Cricetulus griseus: one gene and its partners. The protein of the gene in region 3 interacts with the protein of the main gene of each other region in a biochemical or structural test. Links are inferred from orthologs where the notes say so. Each region holds a gene or a part of one and is shown on either strand. Other genes may lie near its edges.

What was found.
Region 1: of the proteins of Satb1 (region 3) and Kat2b, one has a biochemical effect on the other in vitro, tested with the Homo sapiens proteins (2 studies listed by BioGRID, with this or other methods). The link is inferred for Cricetulus griseus from reciprocal best matches to the Homo sapiens genes SATB1 and KAT2B.
Region 2: the proteins of Satb1 (region 3) and Pias1 form a complex in vitro, tested with the Homo sapiens proteins (2 studies listed by BioGRID, with this or other methods). The link is inferred for Cricetulus griseus from reciprocal best matches to the Homo sapiens genes SATB1 and PIAS1.

Annotation. Positions count from the first base shown.
Region 1 is NW_023276806.1:249,712,263-249,716,824, forward strand, and holds the start of Kat2b (histone acetyltransferase KAT2B), read right to left. Parts: upstream 3,097-4,562; 5' UTR 2,717-3,096; coding exon 2,468-2,716; intron 1-2,467. UniProt on the Homo sapiens protein: Functions as a histone acetyltransferase (HAT) to promote transcriptional activation. Has significant histone acetyltransferase activity with core histones (H3 and H4), and also with nucleosome core particles.
Region 2 is NC_048597.1:174,476,984-174,481,547, reverse strand, and holds the start of Pias1 (E3 SUMO-protein ligase PIAS1), read left to right. Parts: upstream 1-1,312; 5' UTR 1,313-1,370; coding exon 1,371-1,394; intron 1,395-4,564. UniProt on the Homo sapiens protein: Functions as an E3-type small ubiquitin-like modifier (SUMO) ligase, stabilizing the interaction between UBE2I and the substrate, and as a SUMO-tethering factor. Catalyzes sumoylation of various proteins, such as CEBPB, MRE11, MTA1, PTK2 and PML.
Region 3 is NW_023276806.1:251,370,953-251,375,506, forward strand, and holds part of Satb1 (DNA-binding protein SATB1), read left to right. Parts: intron 1-1,840; coding exon 1,841-2,295; intron 2,296-4,554. UniProt on the Homo sapiens protein: Crucial silencing factor contributing to the initiation of X inactivation mediated by Xist RNA that occurs during embryogenesis and in lymphoma.

The DNA of each region.
Region 1 (4,562 bases), about 1.7 Mb from region 3:
GTAGGAGCAAAGGACTGGCTCTGGCTGGCCCAGCTCCAAGCTTTCAAAACTGCTTTCAGTTTCTCTTCACAGCAAGAAACCCTACCCCACCCAACCCCAGGCAGCCAAAAGTTGCAAATCAGGATGGTACATCCTCCAGGAAGTCACCCACTGGAGCTGTAGCTCCTGAGTTCCTCACCTCCCAACCCCTACACTCAAAGGCTTCACTGGACTCCATTGTAATGGCTCACTGCTTTTACCCAGAATCTCAACACCCACACACTCCATCAACAACTCCAAAGACAGAGCTTAGTGTCATAAGCCCAACTTGGTTCCCAGTTAGAATTCCTCTTAGCATTCACTAAAGAAATCAGCAAATAAGAATGCACAAATTCAGGCTGATGAGATGACTCCTGCAGGAGGTGAAGTGTTCATCTCAAACGCTTGACAAGCTGAGTTCAAATCCCAGAACCCACGTGGAAGTAAGGAGAACACACACACACACACACACACACACACACACACACACACACACACACACACACACACACACACTAAACTTTCTAAGCTTCTCAGAAGCAGGAAGAAAGGGCTTAAATAACAGGTTTTCCTTTCCTATTAGTTTGTCAGAAAATATGACCAAGAAATACTAAAGTTATACACTTGATGTTTCAATACTCAGGAAAACCTCAAGGCCAGTGGAGGAGCATGGTGATAGGGCTGTAATCTTAGGCAGACAGGAGGAATTCAAGGCCACCCTGGGCTTCATGGGGATTTTTTTTAATAGCATGCCTGCAACATCAGGAAAGTTTCAGATACTATACAACAGCAGGCTGTATGGGAAGCAGGAGGCTGGGAGCTGGTGATGGGAACTCGGGAAACATACTGAATCCCAGGCAGAACTCATAGCTGACTGGGTTTCTGAATGAGCCCAGAGCAGCTGCAAAAGCCAAGTCTATTGTATTAAATCCTTGAGCTTGCTCTGAGTTGTCTGCTACTCTCTTCCATGTGACTTCGTGGTACACCAGAGGTTCTGCATTCGCTAGTCTGTAGCTATTGGAGTAGAACTCCAGACCTTTCCCGTTTCTTAGACGAATACTCATGATTCAACTTTCTGCACTCCTTATGATATAAAATATGACGTGACGTCAGTATTTCACAGCTCCTCTACAAAATTCAAAAGTAATAATATACTTGCTTCGTGGAAAGCATTCTCAATTACCACTCTCATCTCCCGGGGTTTTGTTAGAAATGCAGGTCCTCAAACGCCCACCCCAGACCTGATTCAGCATCAGCATTTCCACCAGCTTATTCAGCAATTCCAGCGCACACCACTGTACATAAAGCACCGCGCTAGAGCCTCCTCAAAAGGCAGAGCGACTGCAAGACCTAAACAGGAGGTGGCCGCTGGGAAAGGGCCCGCAGGAGACCACCCAAGGCCCTCCGGGGCTCCAGTAAACACTGAAACCAGCCTTCCCCGGGAGGAATGTCTTCTACTAGGCTAATCCACCCTCGCTGTAGGGGGTGGGGTGAGAAGCGGATGCCGGGAACTTGACCCCTTTTGCAGCAGGCTGCAGTAACAAGGGAGGCGTGAGTGAGTGCGCCTCTTCCTGGACCCAGCTACAAGCCGCCAAAGCAGACAAGACCAAGTCCCCGCCCCCTTTTGCTGTCACCCTGTCAAAACAAAGCCGCTGCTTACAGCGCTTGGCCAGTCTCCCCTGCGGCCTAGGGAGCTAGGGAGCGGAGACCCTTACACGTGCATCTCCAACTGGAGACTCCAGGATGCCAGGAGCCCTCGGGGAGGGAGAAAGGCAAGAAAACTGTCTTCAAACTGAGAAGTGTCCGCCGCCTGGGCTGTCACCTTGCCAGACCTTGTTTACACCCTAAACGGCCAGGATGGCTCTTTCACTAAACAAATAATAACACAAAAATGACAGGCCTGTGGCCTCGAGGCCAAAGCCACCAGGCGCCAAGGACCTGGGCGTGGGGCTGTGCCCACCTCCCACCCCGCGCTCCGCCCCAACGCTCCAGCAGAAAGCCAGGATTCCGGGACTCTCCGGCGCGCGCTGACTCGGAACCCAGCTCCTCCAAGCGAGGCACAGTGGGGAGGGCAAGCGCAGGGAAACACACTCTGATCCCCCCACCCCAAAAAAAGATGCTTCCCAGCAGCGACTGGTTCGCCACACCAAGCACAGTTCTGCTACCCTTGAAAGGTCCCCCGCGAACTCCTACAGAGCAACAAAGCCCCAGGGTATCCCCCGGCACTTGGAAGCCAAGACTCATCATTCCCAGAAGAAAGAGACGGGCAGATCAGGATGAGCCCCCACCCCTGCGGGACGCTGTGCAAGCCGCAGCGGCGAAGCGCGCGCAACGAGTGCAGCACTTCCGCGGTGCCCGCGAGAGGACCGAGCGGGGTGGGGGAGGGGAGAGGAGAGGAGGGGTCCGGGCCCGGCCGTGACCCCGCGGTCGCGCGCGTCCCAGCAGGTACCTTGCAAGCCGAGTACACGCCGAGTTTCTCTAGTTTCTTCGCCCGCGGAGCGGAGCGCAGCTGCGCCTTCTTCACGGCGATCCGGGCCGAGCCGCCGCCTCCCGGTCCCTCGGCTGTGCCCGCCGCGGCCACAGCGGTCGCTGGCCCGCAGGAAGCAGAGCTCCCAGAGGCGGTGGCCAGGGTCCGGGGGGAGCCGTGAGGGGGCGCGGGCGGCAGTGCGGGGGGGCCGGCCCCGCCAGCCTCAGCCATGCCTCCCCGAGTGTCACACGTCGCCGCCAGGGTCCTCGCGGGCGCCAGTGGCGGAGCCGAGACCACCCCCCCTCCCAGCCGCCGCCCTGAGGCCTCCCCGCCCCCGCCGCGCTCCGCCGCGGGCGATCGCAGGCCCCGGAGCGGCCCGGGGTGGCTAGGACGCTAGCGGGCCTGAGCGCCCGGGCCGCGCTCTGCTCCCCTGGGCCGCCGGCATGTTGCTGCGAGCGTGGCCACCGGCCCGGCGCGCCAGGGCCCGTGGGTGACCCGCGACACGAGAGGCCGGGCCGCTGCAGCCCAGGCACCTGCCGCCCTGCGCTGCGGCGTTCCTGGGCTGACACCCTCCCGCACCGAGACCCAACTTCCTCCACCCTAGCGGGAGCCGAAGGAAAAAATGTTTTCCAGAAGTATCCGTCAGCGGCCAATCCTCCTCTTTGTTGCTAATTCACCGAAACCATGGCGTGAAGGGTTCCCTTTCTTTCTTTCTTTCTTTCTTTCTTTCTTTCTTTCTTTCTTTCTTTCTTTCTTTCTTTCTTTCTTTCTTTCTTTTGTAAGGGACTTTGGGTCAAACTTTTTCTTTTAAGAATTTTTCCCCATCCTCTTCCCCTGGTAATTTCTGAACCGAATCTGCCCAAAGAAAACCTCAAATGGATTCTGTTAAACACACACACGCGCGCGCACACACACAAACACACACACACACACACACACACACACGCACACACACAAACACACACACACACACACACACACACACACACACACACACACACACTGGTTACAGTACGTTACGGGTCGGCAAAATGAAAGCCAAGTGCGTGGAAAAAGTTTGAAATGGGTCTGCCTGCAGGGTTCACCCGGGTCAGGGTTACGGCGTGCTTGTTAACTGGAAACAGTGTCCGGGAGTAATGCTGATTTTGACTTAAAATTCATAAGCAAAACTATTTTTCCTATCGCTGATGGCAGGGTATTTAAGGTTTTCATCATGGGTTCACCCTCCTAAAACGACTCCTAAAAAGCCCTGCATTGACTGGCAAGTGCCCTAATTCTGCAGAGCAAGCATGGCCATAATGTGTGACATGGGTCGTAATGTATTTGTGATTGGTTGTCTCCAAAGCTTGATAGCTCCTGCCAAACTCCAGCCATAAGGGATGTGCTTTCCCTTGTAAATCCTCCCTTGCTCGTCCTGTTTATTGCAATTTGCTTTTAGAGATTCCCCCCTTCCAGATCCTGTGCCCTTTTAACCAGGGTGGTTAAAAGTTAACAGTTTCTAATGGTGATGCTACACCAGGGAAAAGGAAGTCCCTTCTCTTCTGCAAGCAGTGAAGCCCGCTGCTGTGAAATGGCAGCCTCTTACTAGGTTACATCTGACCAGTGTCCTTTCCTAGTCTTGGCCTTGGCCCAGTATGGAGGCTCATGCCTATCATCTCAGTACCTGAGAGGCTGAAACAAGAGGTTGGCCGTGAGTTCTAGAGTATCCTGGGCTCCAGAGTAAGACTCTTGCCTCAAAAATATGAATCACTAAGACCAAGCATGGTGGCCTACAAGCAAAAGCAGGCCAGTATATGTGACTTCAAGACAATGTGGTCTACATTAAGGAGTTCCAAGACAGCCAGGATTACACAGGGAGACCCTGCGTATAAATGAAAAACAAAACAAAGGTTTTGCAGTACTTTCTTTTCTACAGTTGTTCCCTGATGTTTTGTGAATTTTTCACAATAATGTCATTAAATCATGATAACTTTACTGGGGAATCCAAGTTCCCTTATATGTTCTTAGTGTCCTTCATTTAAAAATGGATTCAGAAGGAAACTTGAGGTCCAATGTATCGTAGTGAGAAGTAAATCCT
Region 2 (4,564 bases), on a different chromosome or scaffold from region 3:
GAAAGCAAGCACATCAACTGGTAGCAGTTCCCTCTAGCCGATTAAGATAAGACCTAAGAGCTGAGAGTATGCTTTGCAAAGGTATAGATGAACAGTAATCTTGATAAGTGATCAAGAAGACAGCAGTGTAGCTGTATCAGGGAAGGTTAACAGGTCAGTGCCACTGAGGAAGTGGGAACAAATACTGTAGAAAAATGAAGTCATGTTTGCGAATTTATTCAGTGAAGAAAGCAGAGAAATACAGTAGCTACTGAGGAAATTTTGGATCTAAAGGAAGTTTAAATTTAAGTAAGAAGGAATTTGATAAGTTTATATGCTGATAAGAATGACTCAGTGGAGGAGGGGATAGTCAACTATAAAGACACTGAAGTAAAAACCTTAGGAATGGGAGTGAAAATAATCTAGGGCACTGGTCAGGACCTGGCCTTCTTGACTTCTGAGACACTTCAGAGTAACATAATGTTAAGAGAATTTTGATAGTGAAAAGTTGATCAGTATAAAAGGCTGGGGTTTTGCAAGATGTAGAGGAGTCGTTTAGTAGAGAGGAGTAGGCATGAAATAATCTTTCTTCAAGTCTAAATATCAATGTAGTTGTAGGAAACCCTTTTGGAGTTAAGCACATCTTCCCCTAAACCATTTTTCTCTATTAGTAAGCCTTTTGATCCTAATGCTATTCATCACCATTAATAATTATATCTTTATTAGTTTATATATCACAGGATAGTGATCTTGATTTCTGAACTCACAAGGCGAGGTGACGAATGGACGTCAGCAGAATTGTCTTTGGCCATCCCTGTTAAATGCTGTCTGAGCGAGTCCCTTTTCTCCTCTGAGCTTTTATTTCGGAAAAGATACCATGGGAATGATAATGATTTCTTTGACGATCTCACTGTTTCATCATAAGCATCTGCGTCAATAAAAACAGAAGCATCAAAACTGGCTAATTGTGGCTCACATGCAGTCGTGTACGGTGCAGGTGCGGAATGCGTCTAGCGGATGGGGTCGTTGCGGCTTCTGTCAACAGGGGCTCAAGCTTGGTCAGCCGAATAGCAGAAGGGCGAAGCTCAGGCCAACACCCCCAGCTGCGGCCTCTTTTCCGGACGCTCCTGGCCTGGCCGGTGTGGGGGCGGGGAGGCCGAGGTAGTAGTAACTGTCAAACCTCCCGCTTGGCGCCATTATTTAAATAGTACGTGCTGGTCTAGCATCTGTGCGTGCCCGGGGCGGGGCGGCGAGCTCCGGGAGCGGGGCGGCGGCCAGGGGCGGGGCGCGAGGGCTGAGGGGCGGGGTGGGGGCGGAGCCAAGTCAGCTAGAGGGGAGGGTTCAGAGCGGCCCCCGGCGAGCTTCACTGCGCTTGCGCTGACAGACGCAAGATGGCGGACAGTGCGGAACTAAAGGTAAAGCGCAGCTCGAATTCACTTCTAATATTCGGCCGTGGAGACGGCGCCGCTGGTGCCGGGGGGGATGGGTCGGACCCTGGGGGGGCCGCTCGGGCCGGGCTCCACCCGGGTCTGGAGTTGTAGGCGGGAGAGGCGCTCCGGGCCTCAGTGGAGGGGGCCTGGCTGCGGCGGGCCGTGGGCCCCGGGAGCCTCGGGGGCGCTGACGGGTCGTCCCCGGCGTGTTATTGTTGTGGGCGCCTCTGGCGGGGGTGGCGGGGCGAAGAGAGAGTGAGTCGGGACGTGGCGGTAGTGGCGGTCCCCGGGGCCCGGGTGCCTCACCTTGCAGCCCGCCTCCCCGCCCCCCCTACGGGCAGCCGGGGGCTGGGGGGGTAGGGTGCGCTTGGAAGGGGGGGATTGGGAAAACTGCCCCGCCGCCGCTTCCTCTTCCTCTTTCGCGGTCCCGGGCTCCTGTCAGGCGCTGTGCTCGGACCCCCGGGAACTTGGCTCCGGCCGCCCCGCCCCTCCGCGGCGCCCAGGCGCCCCCGCCCCGCTCGCCGCCGCTGCCCGCCTGTCAGTGGGTGCCGGGCCAGTGGGAAAGCGCAATCCTGGGGCGATCGGCGGGGGACACGGGGGAGAAGCTCTTGGAAAGTTTAGCGAGCCCGGAGCCGGCGTTGGGGGTTCGGTTAAAGGGTTGCAGGGGGAGTCTGCCGGGGCGGGACGTTACTGTTTCTCTCTTGGTTCCGGGCCACCGGGGTGGGTGGGGGAGTAACCCCCTGGAAGAGTGTGCATTTGGGAGCGGTGGTGGGGATGCAGCCACCTCTCTACTCTCTTGCTGTCGCTGGTGTGGTGGGTGAGAGCAGTCTTGGGGGTCTCTGCATACACCATGATGGCGATGCTATAGCTGATGGAGGTGAATGGTTTGTGTTTATATCCCCCCGTTGCCTTTTGTTTGTTGGGGACATCTTGCTGGCCATGTTGATTTAAACGAAATTCTCCTCCCACCCCCCATCCTACTCCAACCTCCAATAAATAGAATGTTCCATCGTTCCTCTCAACTGTACCAATTACTCATGCCTCGCGAAATTAGATGAAAGGGTGCCCCCTTTCCCCCGCTTTTTCTCCCACCCTAATCTTTACCTGATGATGGTTTCTTTACCGAAGCAGATATACCACTACACAAACAGTTGGGGGAGGGCTGGTGGAACCCTTATGATTGGATTGTGACAAATGGGGCTTCGCTTGAATAATTTTGGTTTAGTAGCAGGCAGTTCTTAACTAACACATATTATTTTGAGGCTCTGAACACGGTATTCCCTTTTCTGGCTTCCTGTGTGCGAACCAAACAGCTGGTTATAGCCCAACAGAGAACTAACATCTCTGTCAGAGTGGAGATTGGGCTATGCAATTGTAAATCTTAAGGGGGATTTAGAAATTCTTTTTGTAATCAATCATTTTTTTTTCCATTATGATGAAATAACTTCTAGAATAAGCAGACCACTACATTTGTTTCTGGGCACTTTTGTGTGTGGAAAAACCTCACTGGAAGATCCTTTTTCACTAGTAACTTTGTAGTGTTAACATTCCAAGATTTTTGTATTAAGATCTTTGTACAAGATTTGGATATTTGTTCTTTTAAGTTTACTTCTAATTATTAACTTTTTAAAAACAGAATGGGTTGAATGGAGAGTTCCTTTTGTTTGTTTGTTTTAAAGACAGGTTTACTGTGCAGCTCAGGTTGGCCTGGGACTCACGGTGTAGACCACGCTAGTTTTGAACTAGTAGAGATCCTCCAGCCTCTACTTCTCTAGTGCTGGGATTAAAGGCATCCACCACTATGCCCTACTTGGAAAATTTCATTTATCCCAATTTCATACTATTGACTGAGAAAGCCTCAGAAATTTGAAATTTTTTGGAGATACTCAACTTGCAATTAAAAACAAGCTGAGTGATGGTGGCATGTGCTTTTACTCCCAGCACTGGGGAGGCAGAGGCTGGAGGATCTCTGAGTTTGAGGCCAGCCTAGTCTACAAAGTCCACTTTTATGTTTCCATTGGTGTGTCATTGTGCCTGAGACTTCGAGGAACTGTGATAGATTTCTTAGCTGGCTCTATTAAAACTTTTAGTAATGCTTCATTGTGGTTAGGATTACTATTCTTTTTGGGGGAGTAAGAGAGGTGATAACAGGAATGCCTGCCATAGTTACTTAAGCATGCATACAGGCCTGGCAGTGGTGGTGCACACCTTTAACCTTAGAACTGGGGAGGCAGAGGCAGGCAGGTCTTTGAGTTCAAGGCCAGCCTGGTCTACAGAGTTCCAGGACAGGCTCCAAAGCTACAGAGGAACCCTGTCTTGAAAAATCAAAAAAGAATGCTTATAAATTTTTTGTGCAGTGAATTTAGGAAGACATTCCTTTATTCCTTTTAGAAATATTTTTTTCAGGGTGTGTGTGTGTGTGTGTGTGTGTGTGTGTGTGTGTGAGAGAGAGAGAGAGCGAGAGAGAGAGAGAGAGAGAGAGAGAGAGAGAGAGATTGATTTTTGGAGGTGAATATCGTATATTCTATAAAATAGGGAAAATCCTAGATTATTAAAAAACTTGTAAATGGAGATACCTAACTCTAATGGGAGCCACTGAGCAAATACTGATCCCCCCTCCTCTTGTCCCAATTCACAGCCCACATTTGACTATGCTGTGGATTATAACTACTTTCCTAATGGCCCTTTTAGTGAATCCTTTTCAATCTATAGTGAATCTGCAAAGATCAGATGGGAAAAGCAGATCTGTATTCCCTGTAGGGATAGTGCAAGCTTGGAGATATTGCCAGTGTAAACTAGATTGTGAGTCACACATATCAAAATGAGTTCTCTGTGCACTTTTACTTATGAAAAGTTTAATTTTTCATTAGGGGAATACCCACAAGTGACATCTGTGAGGCTATGAAGGTGAGACTATGAAGGTGAAGGCACTTCAAGTAGGCAGACCAAGTGATCTTGGTAGTGATAACCTGACAGTTTCTTTGTAGCTCCTCTGATTTGATTTTTTTTTTTTTTTTTTTAACACAGTCTCTGTAGCTGTGGCTAGGCTGAAAACTTGTTTTGTAGACCAGGCTGACCTCCAACTAACAGAGATGGAACTGCCTCTGGATTGTTGAGATTAAAGGTGTGTCACCATGCCTAGCTGTAGATCCTTT
Region 3 (4,554 bases):
CATTTTCTCTTTGTGAGTCAGTCAGTGCTGCAGGAGCAAACACTATGCTTAAGGTTAATGTACCTTCTTCTTTCACAAAGTGTACCTTCCAAACAATCCATCTTAAAATTAAACAGAAATAGGGTATTTCATATACAAAGCAGTATGCCCTATTATAAATCTTTATCACCGTTCCATTCACTTAATAGTAACAACAATAATAACTTTTCCTAAAGACTTAGCGACGAGACCCAAGTTTTGAGCATATTTTAGCTTTTAATATTTGAAGAAAGGCCATCCATCTACCAAAACAGATTCTTTGCCTTTTATAGCTTAGGGCTATAATGAAGACAATGCATCAAGTTTCGGAATAATTGCTTGAATTACTGTTTCATGTGAATGGCCCGCTTGGGCTGATATCACTGGTAGAAACTGAAGGTTTCTTTCCCTTCTCAGTTATATTCTGCATACATCTTGGAGTAAAACAATATGACCAGTTCCTCTGATTATAAAATCTGCACATTTAATGAAAAGAGAAATGAGTCTGTCCATAAGAAGGGTGGACATTTGAAAAGGCTTACCTGTTTATATTACACTCTCATTTTAGCCTCCCTCCAGTCTCTTATGTGTAACAGCACAGCGTTTGGCACACTTAGAGCTGACTCCTAGCCAATCCACACAAGTGCTCTAGCCAAGGGAGAGGAATTCATTCTGGGGAGGTGGAAATAAATTACAGAAACGTGACAGCATCACCATTGTACTAGGACAGCTCTCTGCCCCATCCTTAGCATCTGGTGAGAACCACACTTCTATTAAAAGCATTCAAGCCTTAGCCACACCGGGTGTGCTGGCTTACTCTATGTCTTCGCTTTGTCCTGAGAAGTATTTGCTGATACCCTTGTGTCCATGATTGGACTTAAATGAAACAAACCACATGTGATTCCGAGAGTGGCAGCCAGCTGTTGTGCCCACCTTATTACACGCTTATTTTGTAGCCTTCTTCTTTCTTTTGCCTGGATTGCTAGATTTAACATAATATGGAAGTATATCCAATATTTTTGTGTTTTAATCATAGTTTATCCACTTTTAGTTTAGCTCACGGTTTCTCGTTGCTGTTAAGCCTACAATATTCTTGTAGCCATCTTAAAAGAAACAGTCATTGCTTGTAAGCCTTCTTGTACTTGTAACTGAGAATCAGTAATAGTTTGATCCCTAAGCAAATATAAAAATGTGGATGTAGTAATTTTATGCCTTGAATGGGTGGTTCTCAACCTTCCTAATATAGTTCCTCATACTATTATGACCCCAATCATAAAATTATTTTTTGTTGCTACTTCATAACTGCAGTTTTGTTATAGTATTGTAAGTCATTTTGGAAATAGAGGTTTTCCAAAGAGGTCTCGGCCCACAGGTAGATAACCACTGCTGTAAATTTAAGCTGCATTTCAAAACAAGAACAGGAGCGCTGTCCTGCCCTTAGTGTGTGGGATTGTCTGTAGAGGGAAACACAGCCGTGGCCTGGGAGCTTGTGTCCTTAGTTATCTTGGCACCATTATTCTTCACTGCGCTCTCTCTCTCTCTCTCTCTCTCTCTCTCTCTCTCTCTCTCTCTCTCTCTCTCTCTCTGTTTCAGACAGGGTTTCTCTGTGTAACAGCCATAGCTGTCCTGGAACTCACTCTGTAGATCCAGGCTGACCTCAAACTCACAGAGATCCACCTGCCTCTGCCTCTGCCTCCCCAGTGCTGGGATTAAAGGCATGTGCCATCACCACCCGGGCTTTCTTTGTATTTCTCATGTTAGGAAATGATCAGAAAGTTTCTTATTGCTGTCTGAACTTGATTTTCCTTTTTTTCTACTTTAGTTGAAATGGATAGTCTGTCTGAACTATCTCAACAAGGCACCAACCACGTCAATTTTGGCCAGCAGCCGGTCCCAGGGAACACAGCTGAGCAGCCTCCATCTCCCGCACAGCTCTCCCATGGCAGCCAGCCCTCTGTCCGGACCCCTCTTCCAAACCTGCACCCTGGGCTGGTGTCAACACCTATCGGTCCTCAGCTAGTCAACCAGCAGCTGGTGATGGCCCAGTTGTTGAACCAGCAGTATGCGGTGAACAGACTCTTAGCCCAGCAGTCCTTAAACCAACAGTACTTGAACCACCCTCCCCCTGTCAGTAGGTCTATGAATAAGCCTTTGGAGCAGCAGGTTTCCACGAACACGGAGGTCTCTTCAGAAATCTACCAGTGGGTGCGGGATGAACTGAAGCGAGCGGGAATCTCCCAGGCAGTGTTTGCACGAGTGGCATTTAACAGAACTCAGGTCAGTTTTGTTCTGTTGTTCTACTGCCTCCTCTTGTGTCTTTGCTGAGCCCTATCTAAGCTCATGTTTTTCCTTTACTCTTTGTCAACCTCTGTTAACATGGCACCTCTGTTAAGTGTGGTCCCTGTGCCATCACTTCTGTCCCTGTGCCGTGCTCCTCTTCCAAGGGCACATCCTGGCATTGTCTGTATTCTCCTCATGGAATGGTAAGCTGTTAGTAATAGAAGGTGAGGAAGTGGCTAGCCTAGTGTTGTTTCTATGTTTCTGTTCATATCAAGCTTAAATACATTAATGTGCTTTGTTGAAATTCTTCAACTCTTTTGATACTATGCAGCTTAATAGTGATTGCATTTAATTCTCTGCAGCCGTTTCTTAGCCTTCTTCCATGATTTGTTCATGTTCTCCACACCTCATTCTTATTTTCCCCCATGTTTGTGGTAGAGTTATATGCATTGTACAAAGTGTGGTTTCTTTTCTTTCTCGCAGAGATCTGCCTGCCTCTGCCTCCCCAGTGCTGGGATTAAAGTCCTGTGCCACCACAGCTACCACTGCCTCCCAGCTGAAATGTGGGTGTTTATTTTTTTTATTTTTTATTTTTTTTGGTTTTTTGAGACAGGGTTTCTCTGTGGCTTTGGAGGCTGTCCTGGAACTAGCTCTTGTAGACCAGGCTGGTCTCGAACTCACAGAGATCCACCTGCCTCTGCCTCCCGAGTGCTGGGATTAAAGGCATGCGCCACCACCGCCTGGCTCTGAAGTGTGGTTTCTTATGGTACTTTGTGTACACATTGTGAGGCTTGGCCATGCTTCTAAGCACCTCTTCTTCTGATGCCCTTTTGCCCTTTGTCCAGAGTTCCTGGTTTATTTTGACAGATTTTACCTCACACCAGAGAAATCATGTTTCTTTCTTTTTTTTTTATGTGTCTATATAGTAAATATTTGAGGTCATAAACTCTGATCACACTGTAGATCACTAGCAATGGACAGTGGTGGGATGGGTGTGGCTTGGTGGCAATTCACTTGTGTCTATATCAGGCCATGTGCTGGGTTGGCTGCAGGCATTTAGTTTAGACTTCCCATTGAGGCCTACAAACATCCCCAGTGTTTACACTTTTTCCCTCCTGGGCAAATTCCTGTGAGACACAATCTTCTCTGCAAGAATAGTATCTCTAGTATTTATAAAGGTTTTATTTGTTTAGATGTTAACATAATACACGTGATGTTTATTTTTAGCCAAGGCACACTAAAATAAGAGGAACATTTAACTTTGAGGCTGTAATGTCTTCTCAGTTTTCTTGTTTTTACCTTGTTTTTTTTTTCTTTTTCTTCCTCTTCCTCTTCTCTTTTTTTGTTTTTTGTCTGACTCATTTTCCTTTCATCTTCAAGTTTTGTTTCTTTTCATCTTTATTTTGTTTATTATGATTGTGAGGATACAATTCTGATACAAAAGTAATTTAGTATTAATTCCTTGTTGGCAGTTGCTGAGCCTAGGAGAATGCCAGCTGTGATTTGTGTTTGACTGGCTTTGGTTAGACTGAGGGTCAGAAGACATGGTGGGGTTTTATAGGGCTCCTTCAAATTTTCTACAGCTGTTTTTCTAGTCATTATTGTTGTTTTTAAAAGGGTGGCTTTTGCACTGTGTTGTCTTAGGTTAAAACTTTGTATTTTTTAACTAAGATCTGTGTTTTTACAGCTTTAAAATTGTGTTCATTCTTAGCTGGTAAATTTAATATGACCCTTTAACTCAGTTGGGAGCAATAATTTTAAAAAAAATCAGTGAATCAAAAGCCACCCTCTAGAAATTCTGATTTGTGGTAGCATTCTTTATTTTGTAAATACAGTAATTACTAGTAATGCTTAGTCCTGGACCAAAAACTGCGACTCTACATAAAAGTCGGGTAATGTTTGTTGAATTCAATTAAAGGTCTTTAGACAAAGACAGCACTGACACAGAAGCAGATTATAGATTTACTGATAAGCCCTTGAAAAATTGAGCAAATAGTTGTATACTAAAACACACAGGATATGTGGTGTGTTTGTGTGTGTGTGTGTGTGTGTGTGTGTGTGTGTGTGTGTGTGTGTGTGTGTGTATGTGTGTGTGTGAGAAGAGTGGAGGGGGGACTCGGCACACTTCCTCATCATGGCTGTGAAGTGCTATCTGTCTGTCTGTCTGTACTTGGTCCTTACACACAACATTTGTGGTTATCTGTAGGATTTATTGCAGTAAGTGGTGAATTTTCTCTGGTTGTATGAATTAGTGTC